Linked DNA regions of Callithrix jacchus. The protein of the gene in region 1 binds, or shares a complex with, the protein of each later gene. Links are inferred from orthologs where the notes say so. Each region holds a gene or a part of one and is shown in the gene's direction. Other genes may lie near its edges. The genes, in order: SNTG1, TRPV3, PTEN and RPS6KA1.

Evidence for each region.
Region 2: the proteins of SNTG1 (region 1) and TRPV3 are in contact, whole or in part, in a crystal structure (PDB 7QQN), measured with the Homo sapiens proteins. The link is inferred for Callithrix jacchus from reciprocal best matches to the Homo sapiens genes SNTG1 and TRPV3. Residues at the interface, in NP_001274742.1 of Homo sapiens: Arg62, Gly66, Gly67, Phe68, Gly69, Leu70, Ser71, Ile72, Lys73, Gly74, His78, Ser85, Lys86, His118, Glu119, Val122, Arg126; in NP_659505.1 of Homo sapiens: Pro786, Glu787, Thr788, Ser789, Val790.
Region 3: the proteins of SNTG1 (region 1) and PTEN are in contact, whole or in part, in a crystal structure (PDB 7PC7), measured with the Homo sapiens proteins. The link is inferred for Callithrix jacchus from reciprocal best matches to the Homo sapiens genes SNTG1 and PTEN. Residues at the interface, in NP_001274742.1 of Homo sapiens: Gly67, Phe68, Gly69, Leu70, Ser71, Ile72, Lys73, Gly74, Glu77, His78, Ser85, Lys86, Ile87, Ser88, His118, Val122, Leu125, Arg126; in NP_000305.3 of Homo sapiens: Asp395, Gln396, His397, Thr398, Gln399, Ile400, Thr401, Lys402, Val403.
Region 4: the proteins of SNTG1 (region 1) and RPS6KA1 are in contact, whole or in part, in a crystal structure (PDB 7PC8), measured with the Homo sapiens proteins. The link is inferred for Callithrix jacchus from reciprocal best matches to the Homo sapiens genes SNTG1 and RPS6KA1. Residues at the interface, in NP_001274742.1 of Homo sapiens: Gly67, Phe68, Gly69, Leu70, Ser71, Ile72, Lys73, Gly74, His78, Ile80, Ser85, His118, Glu119, Val122, Leu125, Arg126, Arg141; in NP_002944.2 of Homo sapiens: Arg728, Lys729, Leu730, Pro731, Thr733, Thr734, Leu735.

Annotation. Positions count from the first base shown.
Region 1 is NC_133517.1:3,934,418-3,939,416, reverse strand, and holds part of SNTG1 (gamma-1-syntrophin), read left to right. Parts: intron 1-2,934; coding exon 2,935-3,051; intron 3,052-4,606; coding exon 4,607-4,678; intron 4,679-4,999. UniProt on the Homo sapiens protein: Adapter protein that binds to and probably organizes the subcellular localization of a variety of proteins. May link various receptors to the actin cytoskeleton and the dystrophin glycoprotein complex.
Region 2 is NC_133506.1:67,078,884-67,083,882, reverse strand, and holds part of TRPV3 (transient receptor potential cation channel subfamily V member 3), read left to right. Parts: intron 1-2,009; coding exon 2,010-2,186; intron 2,187-3,401; coding exon 3,402-3,560; intron 3,561-4,250; coding exon 4,251-4,352; intron 4,353-4,999. UniProt on the Homo sapiens protein: Non-selective calcium permeant cation channel. It is activated by innocuous (warm) temperatures and shows an increased response at noxious temperatures greater than 39 degrees Celsius. Activation exhibits an outward rectification.
Region 3 is NC_133513.1:80,554,678-80,559,676, forward strand, and holds part of PTEN (phosphatidylinositol 3,4,5-trisphosphate 3-phosphatase and dual-specificity protein phosphatase PTEN), read left to right. Parts: intron 1-1,415; coding exon 1,416-1,640; intron 1,641-4,999. UniProt on the Homo sapiens protein: Dual-specificity protein phosphatase, dephosphorylating tyrosine-, serine- and threonine-phosphorylated proteins.
Region 4 is NC_133508.1:63,199,840-63,204,838, forward strand, and holds part of RPS6KA1 (ribosomal protein S6 kinase alpha-1), read left to right. Parts: intron 1-229; coding exon 230-310; intron 311-465; coding exon 466-545; intron 546-1,704; coding exon 1,705-1,811; intron 1,812-2,852; coding exon 2,853-2,890; intron 2,891-3,234; coding exon 3,235-3,377; intron 3,378-3,781; coding exon 3,782-3,852; intron 3,853-4,794; coding exon 4,795-4,883; intron 4,884-4,999. UniProt on the Homo sapiens protein: Serine/threonine-protein kinase that acts downstream of ERK (MAPK1/ERK2 and MAPK3/ERK1) signaling and mediates mitogenic and stress-induced activation of the transcription factors CREB1, ETV1/ER81 and NR4A1/NUR77, regulates translation through RPS6 and EIF4B phosphorylation, and mediates cellular proliferation, survival, and differentiation by modulating mTOR signaling and repressing pro-apoptotic function of BAD and DAPK1.

The DNA of each region.
Region 1 (4,999 bases):
GGGAATATTTTGGGTTTTATTTTTTTTTGGCTCTTGTCACTTTTACTATGTTCTTTGTTGTCTTTGCTTTTCTGAAGACTCACGCTGAAGTGCCTTGGCGTGTTTATATTTATCTAGCTTTTGTTTTGCTTGTCTTCTGAATCTGTGTATTGACTTATTTTTATCTATTTGGGAAAATTCTTTGCCATCATCCTTTATATACAGCTTCTGTTCATTCTCTTTCTTTTCTGTGCTTGGGTTGGGACTCAACCTGGAAGTTTATGTCTCTCACTGTAACACCTTTTTCTCTTATTCTCGTGTATGTTTTCCCAAATTTTGTCTCTCCAATCATTATTCTAGATATTTTTTACTGAGCCATCTTTCTATTCACTAATTATTTCTTTAGCTGTTTTTTAAATATGTTGTTAAACCCAACTGTATGTTTTATATATATTTGTCTAATTTCTAATGGGAATGCTTTATAATCTATTATCTCAGATGTACACTGATGAAAGTTTCAATCTTGTATCTTTTGTTCTTATACATAGCAAACCTAGTTAAATTAATGTCTGTATTAGAAAATTTCCATATCTGAAAGGCCTAAATATTCAGTTCTGCTGTCTGTTGTTTTTATTCATGGTTTTCTCCTGATGAACTTTATGAAGTTTTATTTCCTTATATCCTTGGTTATTTTTATTCTGTTCCAAGAGACGATTCTTATGAAAATCTATTGACACATGTAATATTATTGTCATCCAGAAAGGATTTCCATTTTCTTTAGTCAGGAGCCAGAGAGAACTCCAGGATCATCATAAACCATTTCAAGCCTGACATTCTCTGCATCATTTCAGTGGCTCAAATCTGAGCTCCAGTCTTTGCAAGGGCTTGATGACTTCTGCTTTAACTTTGTTATTAGGACGTTATTATTCTGGTCCTAACTAAAAGCAGAGCATGTTTACTAAGACCTTCACACGTGGAGAATCCTGGACTTTAATATTTTGTTCCAAACCTGTAAGATTCCCCAGTGTAGCTGAGTGCCTCATGTGACATTTCTGTATAGGAAGTGGTTACACGGCAAAAACCGATCCCACATTTGTATCAATGATTAACCTCTGTCAATTTTCATATTACTGTAATTTTTTCCTGGTTGTTCTTTAATACCCTATAAAATATCTAGTGCGTTAAGCATATTTTTTCCAGTTTCCTAAGGTAACACTAGATGGTAGGTTGTCGATATTCTCTAGTATGCAAGTGCTGGAAGGGTAAACTGTCATATGCTTTCATTTTTAACTCGTGTAATTATTTTGACACATTGAATATTTATTAAAGCAAGTCATCCTTCTCTTTATGGGATGGTTATCTATTACACTCATTTACTCTTTCAAAACTGTCATGTTATCTGATCATATACGCAATACAAAATCATCAGTTATTATAGCTGGTTCTTATTATGTTATTATTAACCATGAAGTCTCTGTGTAATGCATATGTCAGCAATCTAAAAGATTACAGAATACATTAGATAATTAGAAGAGCAAGCCATCTTGGTTCAAATTCAAATTCTAACTTGTACCAAGTTTCATTCATTTGTTAAGCTAATTAATTTAACTCACAATCCCTTAATATATTAATTCAAGGACTTTATAGCTCAGAGCCTTATTGTAAGACAAACTGAGATAATGAGATGGTGAACAGTCTAAGTATTTTAGAGGGTAAATATAATTTATAGAAAGAAGATGGGATCTGTGAATAGACAATAGTAATATTCCAAAACTTGCATGTCAAATTCTTGCATTGTTATCTGCCAGTTGTTACCACATTAATGCTGGACAACAACCCACCCCCATTCTAGCTGAAATACAACAATAAGTATTTCTTTCTCTCTGAAAGTGAACTGTTTGTGGTTAGCCACCAGCATGAAGCTAGCTGGGCTTGGTCCTGCTGTTAAGCTGGGCTCTGGTCTGCTGTGTTGTTCCTATCCTAGGTATGAGCTTTTCATGGTAATGGCAAAAGCATGAGACACTAAACTAACTCAATTTGTATCATGTTCATTAACATTCTATTGATGATAGAAGGTCTTAGGAGACAAAAAACAAAAAGAAAAAAATGTTTAGGGCGGGCAATTACCTCTGCCAACCATAAAGCCAATATAAATCATATAAAGTGGGGCATACAGCCTTGCACATAGAGCTGTGATGAGAAAGAAATGGAATGCCACATGAATATGTTGTTAGAAATGTCATTAATGATTTATTAAGTGTTTATGTATATGTTTGACTCTTACAAAAATCAGATCATAAACAGAGGAGTGGCTTATCTCACAAAATCTTCATCTGGAAATCGATCCACCTAGATTTAAGTGCTAGCGGCTAAGGAGTTAGTTTTAATGCCACTCAATATAGGAATAGACTAGCATAAATTGTATTCATGGGAAATCAGGGGTTAAAGGGGGACAGTTGTAATTCTCGCCTGGCAGGCACAGTGGAGAAGTGCGGCACCTCCCTCGTGGTAATGCCACAGATGTCTCTCTGACCTGCTTCCCTTGCTCACTTTAACATTGTGTATTGAAGCAGATTCCCAGTTAATAAAATGTCAGTGATGGGTAAACAGGTGGGATCCATCAATGAATTCTATTACAAATAAACCTTTTTCTGTAAGAATTGGTAGAGTGGGAAATACAATCCATGGTAGGTTGGATGGTATAAATAAACCCTGGATAAATGCTGATGGAAACAGATAAGAAATTCTCATGAGTGATTTACATTCATTTACTGAAGATAAATCTTGTTTAATGTACTTTATTGCATCTATCAATGTGATAATTTCATGTGAGGTTATAATACTGCATGAAAAATATCTAAAGTATTTTTGATATTTATATCTAAATATCTTTTAGACATAAAATATCTAAAATAAAAAGTTTTTGACAGTCAATTGTATTCCATTTTCTTGCAGATTGTCTACATGGGCTGGTGTGAGGCCCGGGAGCAAGACCCCCTTCAGGACAGAGTGTATTCCCCGACCTTCCTGGCCCTACGGGGCTCGTGTCTGTACAAGTTTCTGGCACCTCCAGTAAGCGTTTTATCGAAATGTACTGGTCTTTTCCATATTATCACAACAGACTGACACCAACGTAACAACATCCAATAGTATACTATCAATATTTTTAAAAATATGATAGAGAAAAAATAGAAACCAGTTTATCTGATTTAATTTACTAAAAATATATTTTCTGACATTAAACATTTGCTTTATCACCCTGGGAAAGTCTGGAAATTAGTTATTTATAATTGGTGAACCTATAAAATAATGGATCAAATTGAAATGCTGTTAAAAATCCCATGAAGACATGGGAAAGGAGATTTTAAGAAGCATTTTCAAGCATATGTCAGTGTATTTTGTTCATTGAATAGAAGCTAAAGAAATTAATATATCAGAAGTGGAATAAAAAAGAGTAAACTGTTTTAGAGCTCTACGTGAATGAACATGTTTACTAAACTTATTTTCAAAGGATCTTTCGAAAGTGTTTAAAAATGTATTCAGTACTTTAAATTACTAGTAATTTATTATTAGCAAAGAATAATAGGATATCTCAAAATGATAGCATCTTGTCTAGCTGTTATTAAATCTCACTCTAGTGGTAATTCCATAAGATGATGTTAACTCTCAGGTTGTTCGTTTAAAATAGGGGATTCCACACTTGGCAAACATCACAAATACATTCTGGTAAGCTATCATTTATGACAGTCAGACTATATTTATCTATGTTGTACAGGTCTCTCTAGGTAAAATCAATAGCACTTTTATCTTCTGTTATACTCTATGTTAGAGTTACTGAGATTGTATTAAATATGTATAGATACCTACTGGACCTCAAGTCTTGCTTTGGGAAACAGGTTCTTTGCAGCTCAGAAAACACTCAATAAATATTTATTGAATATAAATAGCACATGGCAGACCAGTCTCTTGCGGGTTTAATGATACATAGGATTTAGAAATCATCAGGTCTGACTTGCTGCTGTTTTAAATGTCTGTGTCTACACAGAGTTTAAAGCACTAGGACGACTGGGAAAAATTAATATTTATGTATTTTAGTCTATTCCTACTCCGAATAATTTCTTTGACAAGACAAGTAAATCTATGTTTCTAACCTGAGTGAGTGAAATAACTGCATTGCGCATTCAGTGTGTTTGCAATGTCACAGTCATCCTGAATTTCTTAATATAAATTACGTATATTTAAAAAAATAGAGCTGTGTTGAGCTCTAGTATTCTCTGTATTTAACTGGTAAATAGAGAAAAAAAATTATTTGTTTGTGGAATGTAAATATTTAGTATTTATAGGTAGAGAATATATACATTATTTGAGATTCCTAAGGACACTGGGCAAATGAGAACTGTTGCACATAAATGGTTTGCTGAAAGCATGAGACAAACGGTGACAAACCTTGGAATAGAGGAAACAAGAGTATTATGTAGGGTCCTTTATGAACATAGCTTCACAGATGAGAGACTAAATAGACACATCTCTGAAAGTTTTGCTTATTTTTCACCATATGTATGCAAATCAAATAGAGTGGTAAATAACTTTCTCAAACAAATTACACATTATTTTCTTATCTCTTAAGGTAACCACCTGGGACTGGACAAGAGCAGAGAAAACATTCTCAGTTTATGAGATTATGTGCAAGATCCTCAAGGTATGGTCAGTAATGAGTCAGTATTTGAATGGCTTTTCTTCAGGGAATAGTGCCTCTGGGTTCATAAGTAGCTCACAAAGCAAATGATTTATGGAATGAAAGAAGAGACGAGATAAAGACAAATTAAAGAGAAAGAAAAAACTAGACACAGAAAAGAAAATGCAGATGCACAGACATGCACTGGCACTCAGCTATCTGCTTAAATAACTAGCAAGCAGACTCTGTAGTCCCGCCATGGGTGAGGGAAGAGGGACAAGCTCTGCAGGAGTTCACCGAGGAAGAAGAAAGTTAAGAAAGTTTGGTTGAAAGTAGCTTGAATTT
Region 2 (4,999 bases), on another chromosome or scaffold:
CGTGGCTCCCAGAAGCCGCAGGAGGACGCTGGGGGGGGGGGTGGCTATTGAGTAATCACAGCGGTGCCAGCCTCGGGGTACCCACCCCCGTCAGCTGCCCTGAGGGTCTTGGTCCTGTCCCAAGTGGCCAGGGCTGGGCCCCACAAGGGCCCTTTTTATTCTCCCGTGGGGGAGGAGGAGCTGGAAAAAGGCTTCAACAGAGGAGGGATTGTGTGGCTGCCTCCCCGCGACTTCTGCCCACCCTCAGGGCCACAGTTTGCCGAGGCTTTGAGGAGTCAGCTTGTGGTTGCAGATGGAGCTTTCTCCAAGGCCAGCTTCCCTGTGTGCCACTGTGGTGTGTGCTGTGCCTGCCGCCCCAGCCCAGGGAGGAGGCTTCCTGCATGAAGCATGGCCCCAGGAGCCCTTGTTCTCTAGGCTCACAGTGTGCCCGCTGTGGCCAGCCTGGGGGAGGCACCTGTCCGCTGCTCCCCTCCTCTGTTCCATGTCCTCCAGAAAACTTTTCTGGATGCTGCCCAGGTTGCCCACCGTCCTTGGGCTTTTACAGGCTGGGGTGCGGGACAGAGAGACTTGGCCTTATCCCTAGGAGCTCTCTGGCTGGGCTCTCATGACAGACGGGATGGAACCCCCTGGGTCAGCTGAGACCAGGCCTTGGACGCTGTCCTTCCCAGCAGTCCCTTCCTCTTGGGTCTTGAGTTGGTGCCCTAGGAAGCCCATGTCCCCATCCTGGGGTGACCCAGGGCTCACCTTTCAGGAGGTAAGAAGCCAGAGAGCAGCAGCTCTGCATCCAAAATCTGATCCCTGCACTTGGATTCACCCAGGAAGCTTTGAAAAATAGACTCCAGATCCCACCCTAGAGATTTCCAGTTCATTAACTGATGCTGTGGGGTTTTTTTTGTTTTTGTTTTTGTTTTTTTGAGACAGAGTCTTGCTCTGTTGCCAGGCTAGAGTGCAGTGGCTCGATCTCGGCTCACTGCAACCCCCGTCTCCTGGGTTCAGGTGATTCACCTGCCTCAGCCTTCCGGAGTAGCTGGGACTAAGGTGTGCACCACCATGCTCAGCTAATTTTTGTATTTTTAGTGGAGACGGGGTTTTGCCATGTTAGCCAGGATGGTCTCCATCTCTTGACCTTGTGATCCTCCTGCCTTGGCGTCCCAAAGTTCTGGGATTACAGGTATGAGCTGCTGCGTGTGGCTTTTTTTGAGACAGTCTCACTTCATCGCCCAGGCTGGAGTGAAGTGGTGTGATCTCGGCTCGCGGCAACCTCCGTCTCCCAGGTTCAAGTGATTCTCCTGCTTCAGCCTCCTGAGTCTGTGATTATAGGCATGCACCACCATGCCCAGTTTATTTTTATATTTTTGGTAGAGATGGGGTTTCATCATGTTGGCCAGGCTGGTCTCGAACTCCTGACCTCAAGTGACCCACCTGCCTCAGCCTCCCAAAGTGCTGGGATTGCAGGCGTGAGCTATGGGAATTTCTGTTTCCCAGTGACCCTAATACGGAGCAGAGTTTCGAAGATCACTAACCTACCAATGTCCCATGGGCCTCCCTGTAGGGGGTGGTGCCTATCGTCACCGCCCATCTGGCCAGAGTGGTGAGCCACAGCTGGAGGGGTCTTGGCTAAGGGTGGGCTGGGGGCAGCTGGGAAAACTTCTGGCTTCTTCTCAAGTCCAGAACAAATGGAAACTGGTTCTAAGAAATCATCAGCGCCTCCATTTTTCACTGAACCGGGGCTGCAGCTGGTGTGAGGATTTCGAGCTGATTGTGCAGCTTGCTGCAGCCTGCACAGAACCTTCACACCTTTTTCCCTGGTATTCACAACCTCCCATGAGATGGGCACAATGGCAAGCTTCATGCATGTTCCACAGATAAAGATGGGGCCCCGGGGCCACCGTGCCAGGCGCAAAGGCAGGTCTCCACCTGTCCTGGGCCCAGCCTGCCTCTGGCTGGCCCAGCCCTGCTAGCCACAGCCCCTGTTCTGCAGCTGACGGCTGTGCCTCATCCTGTCCTAGATCCTGAAGTACATCCTGAGTCGTGAAATCAAGGAGAAGCGGCTCCGAAGCCTGTCCAGGAAGTTCACGGACTGGGCGTACGGACCTGTGTCGTCCTCCCTGTACGACCTCACCAACGTGGACACCACCACAGACAACTCAGTGCTGGAAATCACTGTCTACAACACCAACATCGACGTGGGTCTCTCGGGAAGGCTGGGCAGGGCACCGAGGGCTGGGCCTCAGGCCAGGGGCTCACAGACGCTGGGAAGACCCAGTGCTCCCAGCCCTCCCCGCCATGTCTGCCTCCCACGCTCCTTTGCCTTAGTGGGCAGAGTCAGACACAGAAGGGGAGGCCTGGGACAGATGCTGGGCCCAACTCTTCCTGGTTGACCTTGGACTGTAGACCTGAGTGGTGGTGATTGGGGGGGTCTTCTGGACCCAGTATCCAGGGCGGTGTGGATGTGGGTGTGAGTGTGGGTGTGGGCGAAAGGGTGGTTGGGGCTGATCCTTTACATATTTTGTCTCTCCTATCCCCTGTTGCTGTATATGACCAGGCTTAGAATGCTTTCTCTCCCAAAAACTTGTCCCAAATGAGGGTCAGAGAGTGCACTGCTGGAGAAATCAGGGGGGCCTTCCTGGAGAAGGCTAGCAGGAAGAGTTTGGTGCAAATGAAGGTGAAGAGAGGAGCAGCTGGATGCTGCCCAGGTTGGCCACTGTCCTGGGGCTTTTATAGGGTTTATAGGCTGGGGTGCGGGATATAGAGACTTGGCCTTATCCCTAGGAGCTCTCTGCCTGGGCTCTCCTGACTGATGGGATGGGAATCCCCTGGGTCTGGTGAGACAGGCATCGGACACTGTCCTCCTGTGAACAGGAGCACCTGTCCACTCTAACAGGTGAAGCGTGTTCAGCTTTTGGGGGAAGCGGGGCAGCAAAACATTCCTCCTTCATGTTTTACCAAGAGTTGTGCTTCTCAGAGTCTCCTGGCCTTGGGTCTTCCCAGCGCCTCACAGCAGCCTGGCTGGCAGGACAGGGATTGTTCGCAGTTGTATAGGTGAGGAGTCTGAGGCCCAGAGAGGGTCAGGCTGTCCCGAGGTCACACAGCGAATGAGGGGCAAATTGGGGCTGGAACTGCTGTCACCACCTCCTGCCCACTTCTAGCCTTCACTTTCTGCTGTGCTTCGGGTCCTCCTGCTAAAACCCGGGCTCTGGCGGCCTTTGCTGCCCAAGCACCCTGGGGAGGAGCCTCAGGAGCCGTCATCACCCTCCCAGCATTTCCAGCCAAACCAGTCCACTGGGCGTAATCATGGCCCCTTCCCCCAGGGCGACGCTGACTGGGAGCTCCCACCGGCCTTTTGAACTCGGTGCCCCCTCCTCCCTCGCCTCCATGTGACTGCTGGCCTTCCCCCGCAGAACCGGCACGAGATGCTGACTCTGGAGCCGCTGCACACGCTGCTGCGAATGAAGTGGAAGAAGTTTGCCCAGTACATGTTCTTTCTGTCCTTCTGCTTCTACTTCTCCTACAACATCACCCTGACCCTCGTCTCATACTACCGACCCCGGGAGGAGGAGGTATGTGGGCCCCTTGCAGGGGGAAGAGTGGGTGGTCACAGCTGGAGCTGCCCCACGTGCAGACGGGGAAACTGAGCCCCAGGGAGGCCAGGGGATTTGGGTGGGCCCCCAGTCGTCCTTCACACTTTCTAGGGAACTGAGTTTGTCTCCAGTGTTTGGCTGGGCTAAGGCCCAGGTGCTGAGTCCCAGGTAGACCCATGTTGGGGGAAGTTGGAGAATTCAGAGACTCAGGCTCAGCCCAGGGTCTCTGTCTAAATACAGAACTGGTCGGGTATTTCTGCTGTGAGGGCTGCAGGAAATGGGAGGGGGCTAAGCACTCCCTGCCTGCTGGGCCTCGGTTTCCCATCCGTCACATGGGGCACGGAGCCTCGGCTTTATTAACTGTGCTGTGAGGCCATGTTGAGTGTTTGGATACAGAGGGTTCTGGAAAGGCTGTTGGAGTAGAGCATGAGGGTGCTTAGCACGGATTGGATGATACTCCTTGTTGTAGAGATCTGGGCTTCCATCAAGGGTGGGGAGGGTGGGGATCAGGGAGTGGCTCTTCCTTCTCTTGACCTGTACAGAGATGGGGTTTCACGCTGGCCTCTGACCTGGCTTGAGCGTTTTTCCTGTGTTTCGGCTGCTCTAGTGTTGGGGCCAGCTCAGCCCTTCTTCCTCCCTATTCTGACCACCCTTCCTCCTTCCTCCCAGGCCCTCCCGCACCCCTTGGCCCTGACCCACAAGATGGGGTGGCTGCAGCTCTTGGGGAGGATGTTTGTGCTCATCTGGGCCACGTGCATCTCTGTGAAAGAGGTGAGTGGCCACTCGGCCCTTCTGTACCGTCCCTTAAGGCGGGCAGGCGGCAGTGGGCCTGGGCTTCATCCCTGTCTGCTCTGCCATTACAGCTGGGGAGCTTTGGGGAGGCATTTCCTTCCCAAGCCTTAGCTCTCTGAGTTGGAACAAATGAATAAAGCTGGCCTATCCTCCCTACTCCATCCATCTACTTCTCTATCCATCTGCCCAACTCTCCACCATTTACCCTCCCAGCCCCTCAATGTCCATCCTCCTCTCCACCAGCATCACCCATCCAATCACCTGCTCTCTTTCGTGGAACAAGCCACTCATTCATTCGTTCACATGCCCACTCATCCTTACCGACCATCCTTCTATCCTTCATCCAACCATCTTTCCATCTCTCCATCCATCCCTCCCTCCATCCCTCCCTCCCTCCCTCCCTCCATCCATCTATCCATCCATTTGTCTGTCCATCCATCTCTCCCTCCATCCATCCATCCATCCATCCATTTGTCCGTCCGTCCATCTGTCCATCCATCCATCCATTCATCCATTTGTCTGTCCGTCCGTCCATCTGTCCATCCATCCATTCATCCATTCAATGAATCAACACATATAATCTGAACACCTATATATGTGTGGCCCTGGAGGAGGTGATAGGGATG
Region 3 (4,999 bases), on another chromosome or scaffold:
GTAGCTGGGACTACAGGTGTGTGCCACCATGCCCGGCTAATTTTTTGTACTTTTAGTAGAGACAGGGTTTCACTGTGTTAGTCAGGATGGTCTTGATCTCCTGACCTCATGATCCACCCGCCTTGGCCTTCCCAGGTGCTGGGATTACAGGCATGAGCCACCATGCCCAGCCTACATTAGAATAAAAGATTTAAATGGCATTTTAAGGTACCAGAAAAGATGCCATGAGGCTGTACATCATTAATTGCCAAAAGATTCATACAGGCCAGATTTCTATGTTGGTCAATGAAGGTTTAAAGTGACGAACTTTGGTTGTGGTTTTTTATTAAGAAGATATTATCTTATTAGTAAAAAGTGATTTTTTTAAGAACAGACATTTTATAACATAAAAATAAATCAGTGGTACTCTTCCCTACCCCCTCATATTTATTTTGAAAGTATTCAAGCATATATTGTCATGTAAGAAAATGGAGCTTCTCAGCCAGGTGCGGTGGCTCACACCTGTAATCCCAGGACTTTGGGAGGCTGAGGCAGGAGGATTACCTGAGGTCAGGAGTTTGAGACCAGCCTGGCCAACAAGGTGCAAAATTCCATTTCTACTAAAAATAGAAAAATTAAGCTGTGCAGGTGGCTCACGCTTGTAATCCCAGCACTTTGGGAGGCCGAGGTGGGCGGATCACGAGGTCAGGAGATTGAGACCATCCTGGCTAACTAAACCCCATCTCTACTAAAAATACAAAAAATTAACTGGGCATGGTGGGGCATGCCTGTAATCCCAGCTACTTGGGAGGCTGAGGCAGGAGAATTGCTTGAACCCCGAGGTGGAGGTTGCAGTGAGCCAAGATTGCGCCGTTGCACTGCAACCAGGACAGTAAGAGTGAAACAACATCTCAAAAAAAAAAAAACCAAACAAACAATGGAGCCTCATGTTTGTATTGCTGTAGAGATAAACATGTATTTGCCGTGCATCATCAGGGAAGTTGCACTTACCTTCCAAGAACTTTTGTTAAGGTAAATCTTGGAATATTTAGCTCTTTTGAAATTCAGAAAAAATTAAATTCATATCTGAATTTTGTTTATATGTATGCACACATAAAACAAAACCATTTTTAAAGCTAGTATTAGATTAGAAAAGAGGTTTTTTGCTTAAAATTTTAAGACAAAAGTAATTTATCTTAGATTTTGCAAGATTATATTTTTGATTTAAAATTTGAGTGACAAAAAATCATGTAACAAAAATGCAACAGAAAACTCAGATTGCCATATAATAGTCTTAGTGTTTACCTTTTTTGAATATATCAAATGATAGTTTATTTTGTTGACTTGTTGGCAAATGTTTAATATGGGTAACATTTTTTTAAAGAGTAAAATATTAAAATAAATAATTTTCTTTCTCTTTTTTTTTTTTTTTTTAGGACAAAATGTTTCACTTTTGGGTAAATACATTCTTCATACCAGGACCAGAAGAAACCTCAGAAAAAGTAGAAAATGGAAGTCTATGTGATCAAGAAATTGATAGCATTTGCAGTATAGAACGTGCAGATAATGACAAGGAATATCTAGTACTTACTTTAACAAAAAATGATCTGGATAAAGCAAATAAAGACAAAGCCAACCGATACTTTTCTCCAAATTTTAAGGTCAGTTAATTAAACATTTTGTAGGGGTTGATGATTTGTGTATATGTGATATGTGTTTAATTCTAGGTGTACAGCTGATAAAGAACTTGCTTGACAAGTTCTTAAATTATGTATTATTTAGAAGCAGTGTTTATGTACCAGTAACATGAAAGTTTTTAATAAAATACCCGATGTACACAGAGTCAGAAAAGCTGCATTTTTCCTTTTCCCAATTCATTGTTGTTGTTTGGTGAAATCTGAAGCAAAGGTACAGGAGGGGGGTTAAATGACTGGGATATGAAGTAGGAATGGAAGAGGAAAGAAATGGATGGAAACTCAGTCATTTGGGAATGATTCATATGGAAGTTTTTACTGCTTCCACTCCTGTCTCCCTTCCAATTTATTCTCAACCCCTGAAAGTGGCCTTAAAAATAGGTTTAATTATGTCACTTCTGTTTTCACTTTATAAAGACCTTGGGTTTTTTGTTTTTTTTACCATGACCTACAAGGACCAGCATAATTTAGCACAGGCCTACCTCCTACATCAGCCCTAGTCACCTTCTCTCCTTGCTTCTTGAGATTCAGACATACTGGTCTCTCTTCAGTTCTGCAAAATGCTAACTTCTGCCTCTAATCTTTCCAGTTCTTTTCCTTCTCCCTGTACCTTTCTATCCCAGCCTTTTCCCTGTCCTTCACATAGCTGTCTTCATATTTCCAGCCTTAGCTTCAATCTCATATCTCTGATTGTCCTCCCCTGTTATGCTTCTTAAAAGATCCTATTTCCTTATTTTGTGTCTTAGAATTATTTGGTTTGTCTCATTTTTGTCTATATGTGATACGTATATTTGTACCTAGGTATATATATCTACTTATAGACAAGAATTCTTCAAATTGAAAAACTCTGATTTGTAAAACATTCCAAAATGGTTATTGGCCATTTTTTTCTTCTGCTTTCCTATTTCTTATTCTACCTGATTTCCCCCTGTCCATTCACCATACTCTTTTCTTTCTCTTTTTTACTCTCGCTCTTAATTTTTCACTCAGTTTTTATAATATGTAACAAATCTATAGCTTCTGAGTATTAAGAATATTGCTAGTAATATTTTGCCTATAATCCTAGCACTTTGTGAGGCTGAGGCGGGTGGATCACTTGAGGCCAAGAGTTTAAAAGGCCAGTATGGTGAAACCCTGTCTGTACTAAAAATACAAACCTTAGCTGGGTGTGTGTCCCACATCTGTAATCCCAGCTACTTGGGAGGCTGAGGCATGAGACTCGCTTAAGCCTGGGAGGCAGAGGTTGCAGCAAGCCGAGATCACGCTGGTGCACTTCAGCCTGGGTGACAGAGTGAGACTCTGTCTCCCCGCCAAAAAAAAAAAATTGCTAGTAATAGTAATACTTAAAAATCAGTAAAGGGGCCCCTACATGTTTTAAGTGAAAATAGATCTAATATTAAATGCCTTTAGCTCTTAAATTTAAGTGTTGAGAAGTTTCCCTTTTTAAAAAAATTTTAATATATAATAATTATACATATTTATGGGATACAGAGTGATATTTTCATGTATGCAGTGTGTGATGATCAAATCAGGGTAATTAGCATATGGATTACCTCAAACATTTGTTATTTTTTTGTGTTGGGAACATTCAAAATTCTATCTTCTAGCTATTTGAAAATAGACAATAAATTATTGTTGACTCGTTACAGTTCTGTAGAACACTATAATTTATTCCTCCTATCTGTAATTTTTAATCTTTTAACCAACATCTTCCTATCCTCCCCTCTCCCTCCCTTCCAAGCCTCTAATAACCACACTCCTATGAGCTCAACTTTTTGAGCTCCCATATGTGAGTGAGAACATGCAGTATTGATCTTTCTGTACCTGACTGATTTTACTTAACATCATTTCCTCCAGGAAAGACATTTTCTTTAAAATCTACAGGTTTCCTTTGTTTTCTCTAAATCTGCATTTTGCTTAACCATTAACCTTTAAACTATCTTTTCCTTCTAGTTTTATTGTTTTCTGTTTTAATATTGCAAGATTTTTATATTTGTGATTACAAATAAAAGCTCTGTTATTAGTAAACAAATACAATGTCATATTGTGGTAAGTGCTATAAAAATAGAGAGAATAATCTTGGTTTGTGTGTTTTTTGTTTTTTAGCTAGGATGATTAGAGAAGGCCCAACCAAGCACATAATATTTAAGCAGAGCCTAAATCATATGAGTGAGTTATGCAAATATCTGGGAAAAGAGGGAAGAGTAGAGATGCAAAAGCCTTTAGGCAAGGAGCTTGGTGTATTTGAAGAGTGGATAAGTCATTTTGACTAAAACAGAGTAGACAAGAAAACCAGTCCATGTGTAAAGATACTTGTGTGTGTTCAGCATAGGAAGGATATAATCTGAATTTTGCATTTAATACTCCCTGTGTTTATGCTTTCAAAATATAGATAAGTGAGGAAAGTAGGGAGAAGGGGTAATAATTAAAGCTGAGAGATAGTTGAGGCACTTGAATAGTTTAGTAAAGGTGAGAGATGATGTTTTCTTCTTGTTGCCCTTCACTGCTTAGAATAGTGGCAGTGAAAGGTAACAAGAAGCTGTCAGATTAACTAAAAGGGTTTACTGATGGAGTGGATGTTGGTTGTAAGAGAAGAATAATTGATAATGACTCTTGGATAATAGGGAGGGGCTGTCAATATAATACAATGAAGAAGGGATTTGAAGTCAGATCTGATTTACATCTCAAATCTACTACCTACTATTTATAGATATGTGGCCTTTAACAAGTTCCCTAACCTTTCTGGGCCTTAGCTACCTCTCCTTGAAAACGGAAATACCTAACATATAGGGTTATTTTGACAGTTATTTTCACTATGCATGTAAAGGCCCTTGGCTCTCTGTTTAGACCACGTTATGAGGTTACTGTCCCTCTCCTTCCTTCCTTTAGGTGAAGTTTTTAGGGCTCATAAATTCTAAATATCAGTGTTGATCAGTAGTTTGTGTGTGTGTAGTGTTTATATCAAAAAATACATTGAAGTCGGGCACAGTGGCTCACGCCTAAAATCCCAACACTTTGGGAGGCCAAGGTAGGCAAATCACCTGAACTAAGGAGTTTGAGACCAGCCTGGGTAACATGGTGAAACCCTGTCTCTCCAAAAAAATATATAAAAAGTAAACTAGCTGGGGGTGGTGGCATGTACCCATAGTCCCAGGTACTTGGAAGGCTGAGGTGGGGGGTCACTTGAGCCTGGGAGTTCGAGGCTGCAGTGAGCTGTGAAGGTGCCACTGCATTCTAGCCTGGGTGACAGAGCAAGACCCTGTCTCAAAAAAAACAAAAAGAAAAAGAAAGAGGAAAAGAAAAAAAAAGAAAAGGAAAGGAAGGAA
Region 4 (4,999 bases), on another chromosome or scaffold:
AAGGCCCCAGCTGTGGGCACTGCTGTGAGGGGTGGGGGCAAAGAGCCTACCTGGCTCCTGGGAAGGAAGGAAGAAACCTGAGGATTGAGTGTCCCCAAAGCCCTGAGTGAAGGGGCCTTAGGAGCTCAGATGTGGAGGAACAAGTGGAAAAGAGAGCCCTTAGTAGGGACTTGGGAGTGGCTGTGTTGAGTGTCTAGCTTCCTGGTGACTTCCTTTCTTGTCTATTCAGTACGTGACCGCGTTCGGACCAAGATGGAGAGAGACATCCTGGCTGATGTAAACCACCCATTTGTGGTGAAGCTGCACTATGGTAAAGCTGCAGGCCCCATCCCACTCATCCTTCACCCTTGCCTGTGGGTCTGTACACTGTCCCACCGCCTGCCTGGCAGGCCAAGGGAGACCGGGCTGGAGGAGCAGGTCACAAGGTCCCACTGACTCTACCATTGCCTTTTTCCCTCTCCCCAGCCTTCCAGACCGAGGGCAAGCTTTATCTCATTCTGGACTTCTTGCGTGGTGGGGACCTCTTCACACGGCTCTCAAAAGAGGTGAGCTGACATCTACTGCCAAAGAGCCCCGGGATAGAGCTGGGGAACGACAAGGCCCATCCAGGGCCCTGTACAGAATGTGTTCAATATGGCCTGAACCTGGAACCACCCAGGCCTGCCTAGCAGCCCCTGGCCTAGGAAATACCACTCACCCTGGGATGGAGGCCATATGCTGGCAGGGCCACTGAGAGTTTCTCCCAACAAAACTCTGGGGAGCTAAGGTTTCCTCTCACCTAAGCACGTGCATTCTTCCAGGGCTGCTCTGGACAGAGCTGTGAAGATTGAGGAGAAGCCCAAAGTCACCCAGAGAGCCAGAGACTCTAGCAGTCATGTCCCACATGTCATCCAAAAGGATTTTGAACCAGTAGAAAAGGATTTGAGCTAGAAAATGAGACCATTCATACAATTCAGACTTTGAAGAGAACCCAACTTTTAAAAAAGTTTTAAATTGTTATTTTAATGTGTGAATAGGTAATCTATATGATTCAAAATAAAAAAATATTCATGAAGAAGTCTTCCTCCCACCCCAGCCCCTCTATCCTCATCCATAGGTAAACATTTTTTTTATTGGTTTCTTTTTTTTTTTTTTAATAGAGACAGGGTTTCTCCATGTTGGTCAGGCCGGTCTCGAACTGACCTCAGGTGATCCACCCGCCTTGGCCTCCCAAAGTGCTGGGATTACAGGTGTGAGCCACTGTGCTGAGCTTTTTATTGGTTTCTTGTTTAACCTTCCCATGTTTCTTTTGCAAACAAATTCGATATATGTTCTGAATTCCTACCCCCACTTTCTTACGTAAAAAGTACTATTCTATATACATTGTTCTGTACCTTGATTTTTTTCAAGATAGTATATCTTGGAGCTCGCTCCATATCAGGACATGGAGAAAATCTTTGTTCTAGGTAATGGCTGCAAAGCACTCCATTATGCAGGAGAGACAGCTTATTCCCGCTTTTCCAGCCCTTTCTATTTCTGAACAATGCCACAATGAGTGACTTGCAGCTTAGTCATTTCATATTTCAAATCCTCTTGCGACAAGAAGGCTAAATGGCCTGGGTCCTCCCAGGGTGGCCCCTCAGGACCAGGAAGCTGCTGACTACCCAGTGCCCAGCTTTTAAGGAAAAGGAGGTCTCTGCTGAAGCCCCCTCCTGTCTGTTGCAGGTGATGTTCACAGAAGAGGATGTGAAGTTTTACCTGGCCGAGCTGGCCCTGGGCCTGGACCACCTGCACAGCCTGGGTATCATTTACAGAGACCTCAAGCCTGAGAAGTGAGTGAAGCCTCCATCCCCACCCAGTCTCCCCAGGGGAGGCCTCTTCTAGAACAGGGCCATCCTGAGGTGGGTGGACATGGCTTTCTCCAGGAACGTCCCCCTCTCTTGGGCAATCTGAGGAATGGGTGAGTGGGGTGGGTGGTAGTGGCAGCTGCCCAGTCACTAATGCTATCATTACCAAGGGCCAGGTACATTCCAAGCAGGTATGTTTCCCACCTTTTTTGCTAATTTAGTGTGACATCTGAGATGCTGCTACCTTTAAAGGTCTTTCCTTGATATAACCCTCTAGAATTTTCCCTAATAGCTAACTATCCTTGGCCAGGTGCAGTGGCTCATGCCTGTAATCCCAGCACTTTGGGAGGCTGAGGCAGGCAGATCAGCTGAGGTCAGGAGTTTGAGACCAGCCTGACCAACATGGAGAAACCCTGTCTCTACAAAAAATATAAAATTAGCTAGGCGTGGTGGCACATGCCTATAATCCCAGCTACACGGGAGGCTAAGGCAGGAGAATCACTTGAACCTGGGAGGTGGAGGTTGTGGTGAGCTGAGATTGTGCCATTGCACTCCAGCCTGGACAACAAGAGTGAAACTCTGTCTCAAAAAAAAAAGTGTGTGTGTCTGTATATATATATAGTTAAATGATAACTAAGGAGCCAGGGGCAGGTGGTGAGTTGGGGAATAAGATCTGGCTTTAGTGTTAGGCAGCCCTGTATTCAAATCCTGTCTCCACCTACTAGCTAGACTTACCAGCTCCATGACTGTAGAGCTACTTAACTGCCCTGAGCCCTAGTTTCCTCATTTGCAAAATGGAGCCCTAATAGTACCTACCTCACACAGTTGTTTCAAGAATTAGCAAAAATGATAGGCAACATACCTGCATGACACTGCCATCACCCTGCAACACCCACCCGGTCATCGGGGAGAACTGGGCGGAGCAGCTCCTCTGGGCTGAGCCCAGCTCCCACAGCCCTGTGGTGACACCACCACCCACACAGTGGCCACAGCTGAGGGGCCCTGACCCCCATTCCTCTATTACAGCATCCTTCTGGATGAGGAGGGTCACATCAAACTCACTGGTGAGTGGAGGACGCCTGCCCTTTTGGGCCCCAGGGGAGGGCAGAACAAGGTCCTGATAGGTCTGGGCTGAGTGCTGGGGGCTCATTCTTCCCGAGAGGCTGTGCCAGTTACTTGGAAGTGGTCAGAAACCCAGGCCTCAGACTTGGAACACCCTCGGTTGGAATCTCAGCCCCTCATTGTGTAACGTTGGGGAAGTCACCTGACCTCTCAGGGCCTTAGCTTCCTCCTGAGTGTCATGAGGGTTATGCCTTCCAGCCTCTGGGCACAGGGGTTGGGTGTGCAATGGGTGTCAGCAAGGAAGGCAGGGATCCTGAGATGTGTCCTCCTGCCCTCCTTGCTGTAGACTTTGGCCTGAGCAAGGAGGCCATTGACCACGAGAAGAAGGCCTACTCCTTCTGCGGGACAGTGGAGTACATGGCCCCCGAGGTCGTCAACCGCCAGGGCCACTCCCACAGTGCGGATTGGTGGTCCTATGGGGTATTGATGGTGAGTGCCCAGACAGGGATAAAGGATCCCACCCAAGCCTCTGGCCTCAGTCTCCCCGTCTGTACAGTGAGGGGGTTGATCATCTCTAGGGCTTTCCTCGTCTCCTCTCACAGCCATGCTGGCCTCACCCTACACGCAGCTGCAGTTTTCTTTCTTGGAAGGATCCCAGGCTTGACCCCATCTGGGACACGCCTAACTCAGTGCTGGGCTTCTCCCCAGCCTCGTGCCCCCACTGCTGCACCTACCTGGTGGTCTGGTTGTTGAGGCAAGAGGGACAGACATAATTCTTGCTCCAGGTGGACTTGGATGATCCTGGGACTAGGGCAGAGGGGCCTAGATGGGAGGAGGTGGGAGGTGTGGGGGAGTCAGGGATCAGCGCCTAAATAGACCCTTGTCCTCTGCAGTTTGAGATGCTGACGGGCTCCCTGCCCTTCCAGGGGAAGGACCGGAAGGAGACCATGACATTGATTCTGAAGTAAGCCCCAGCCCTGCCCTGATAACAATGGACTCTCCTGGCCGGGCGCAGTGGCTCACGCCTATAATCCCAGCACTTTGGGAGGCTGCAGGCGGGTGGATCACGAGGTCAAGAGATCGAGACCATCCTGGTCAACATGGTGAAACCCTGTCTCTACTAAAAATACAAAAATTAGCTGGGCATGGTGGTACACGTCTGTAGTCCCAGCTACTCGGGAGGCTGAGGCAAGAGAATTGCTTGAGCCCAGGAGGTGGAGGTTGCGGTGAGTCGAGATCGGGCCATTGCACTCCAGCCTGGGTAACGAGTGAAACTCTGTTTCAAAAAAAAAACAAACAACAATAGACTCTCCCAAGCGGCCCAGTCGGGGTCAGAATATTACCCTGTCCCTGCCTCAGATTCCCTCACTAATGAGACACTCCTCTGGATTAAATATTACACCTTCCAGGATGGGCGCAGTGGCTCCCGCCTGTAATCCCAGCACTTTAGGAGGCTGAGGCAGGCGGATCACAAGGTTAGGAGTTTAAGACCAGCCTGGCCAACATGGTGAAACCCCGTCTCTACTAAAAATACAAAAATTACCTGGGCATTACAGGTGGCACATGCCTGTAATCCCAGCTACTCATGAGGCTGAGGCAAGATAATTGCTTGAACTGGGACCCGGGAGGTGGAGGTTGCGGTGAGCTGAGATTGCGCCACTTGTACTCCAGCCTGGGCTACAGAGTGAGACTCCATCTCCAAAAACAAAAAACAAAAAAGATGATAACTTCCAGAGCCCCTCTTTCCTCCATGGGGGCCTGTGGGTGGGCTCCCTGAATTCTGTGGGAAGTAAATTAGCGGATGGCTTGTCTAGACTGAGCTGGGAACTGGGCCTGGACAGGGCTGGGGGAAGATGGGGCCTCTGGGGTGGGGCTCAGCCCTGATGAGTCCCGGGGGCTGTTTCAGGGCGAAGTTAGGCATGCCCCAGTTTCTGAGCACTGAAGCCCAGAGCCTCCTGCGGGCCCTGTTCAAGCGGAATCCTGCCAACCGGCTCGGTAAGTAGCCCCAGCTCAGGGGAGGGGATGTGGCGGTGGGGAGCTGGGTACAGCTGCAGCCTAGGCCACGGGGCCACATCTGGGCTGAAAGGGGCCGTTGTCCTTTGTGTGGGCAG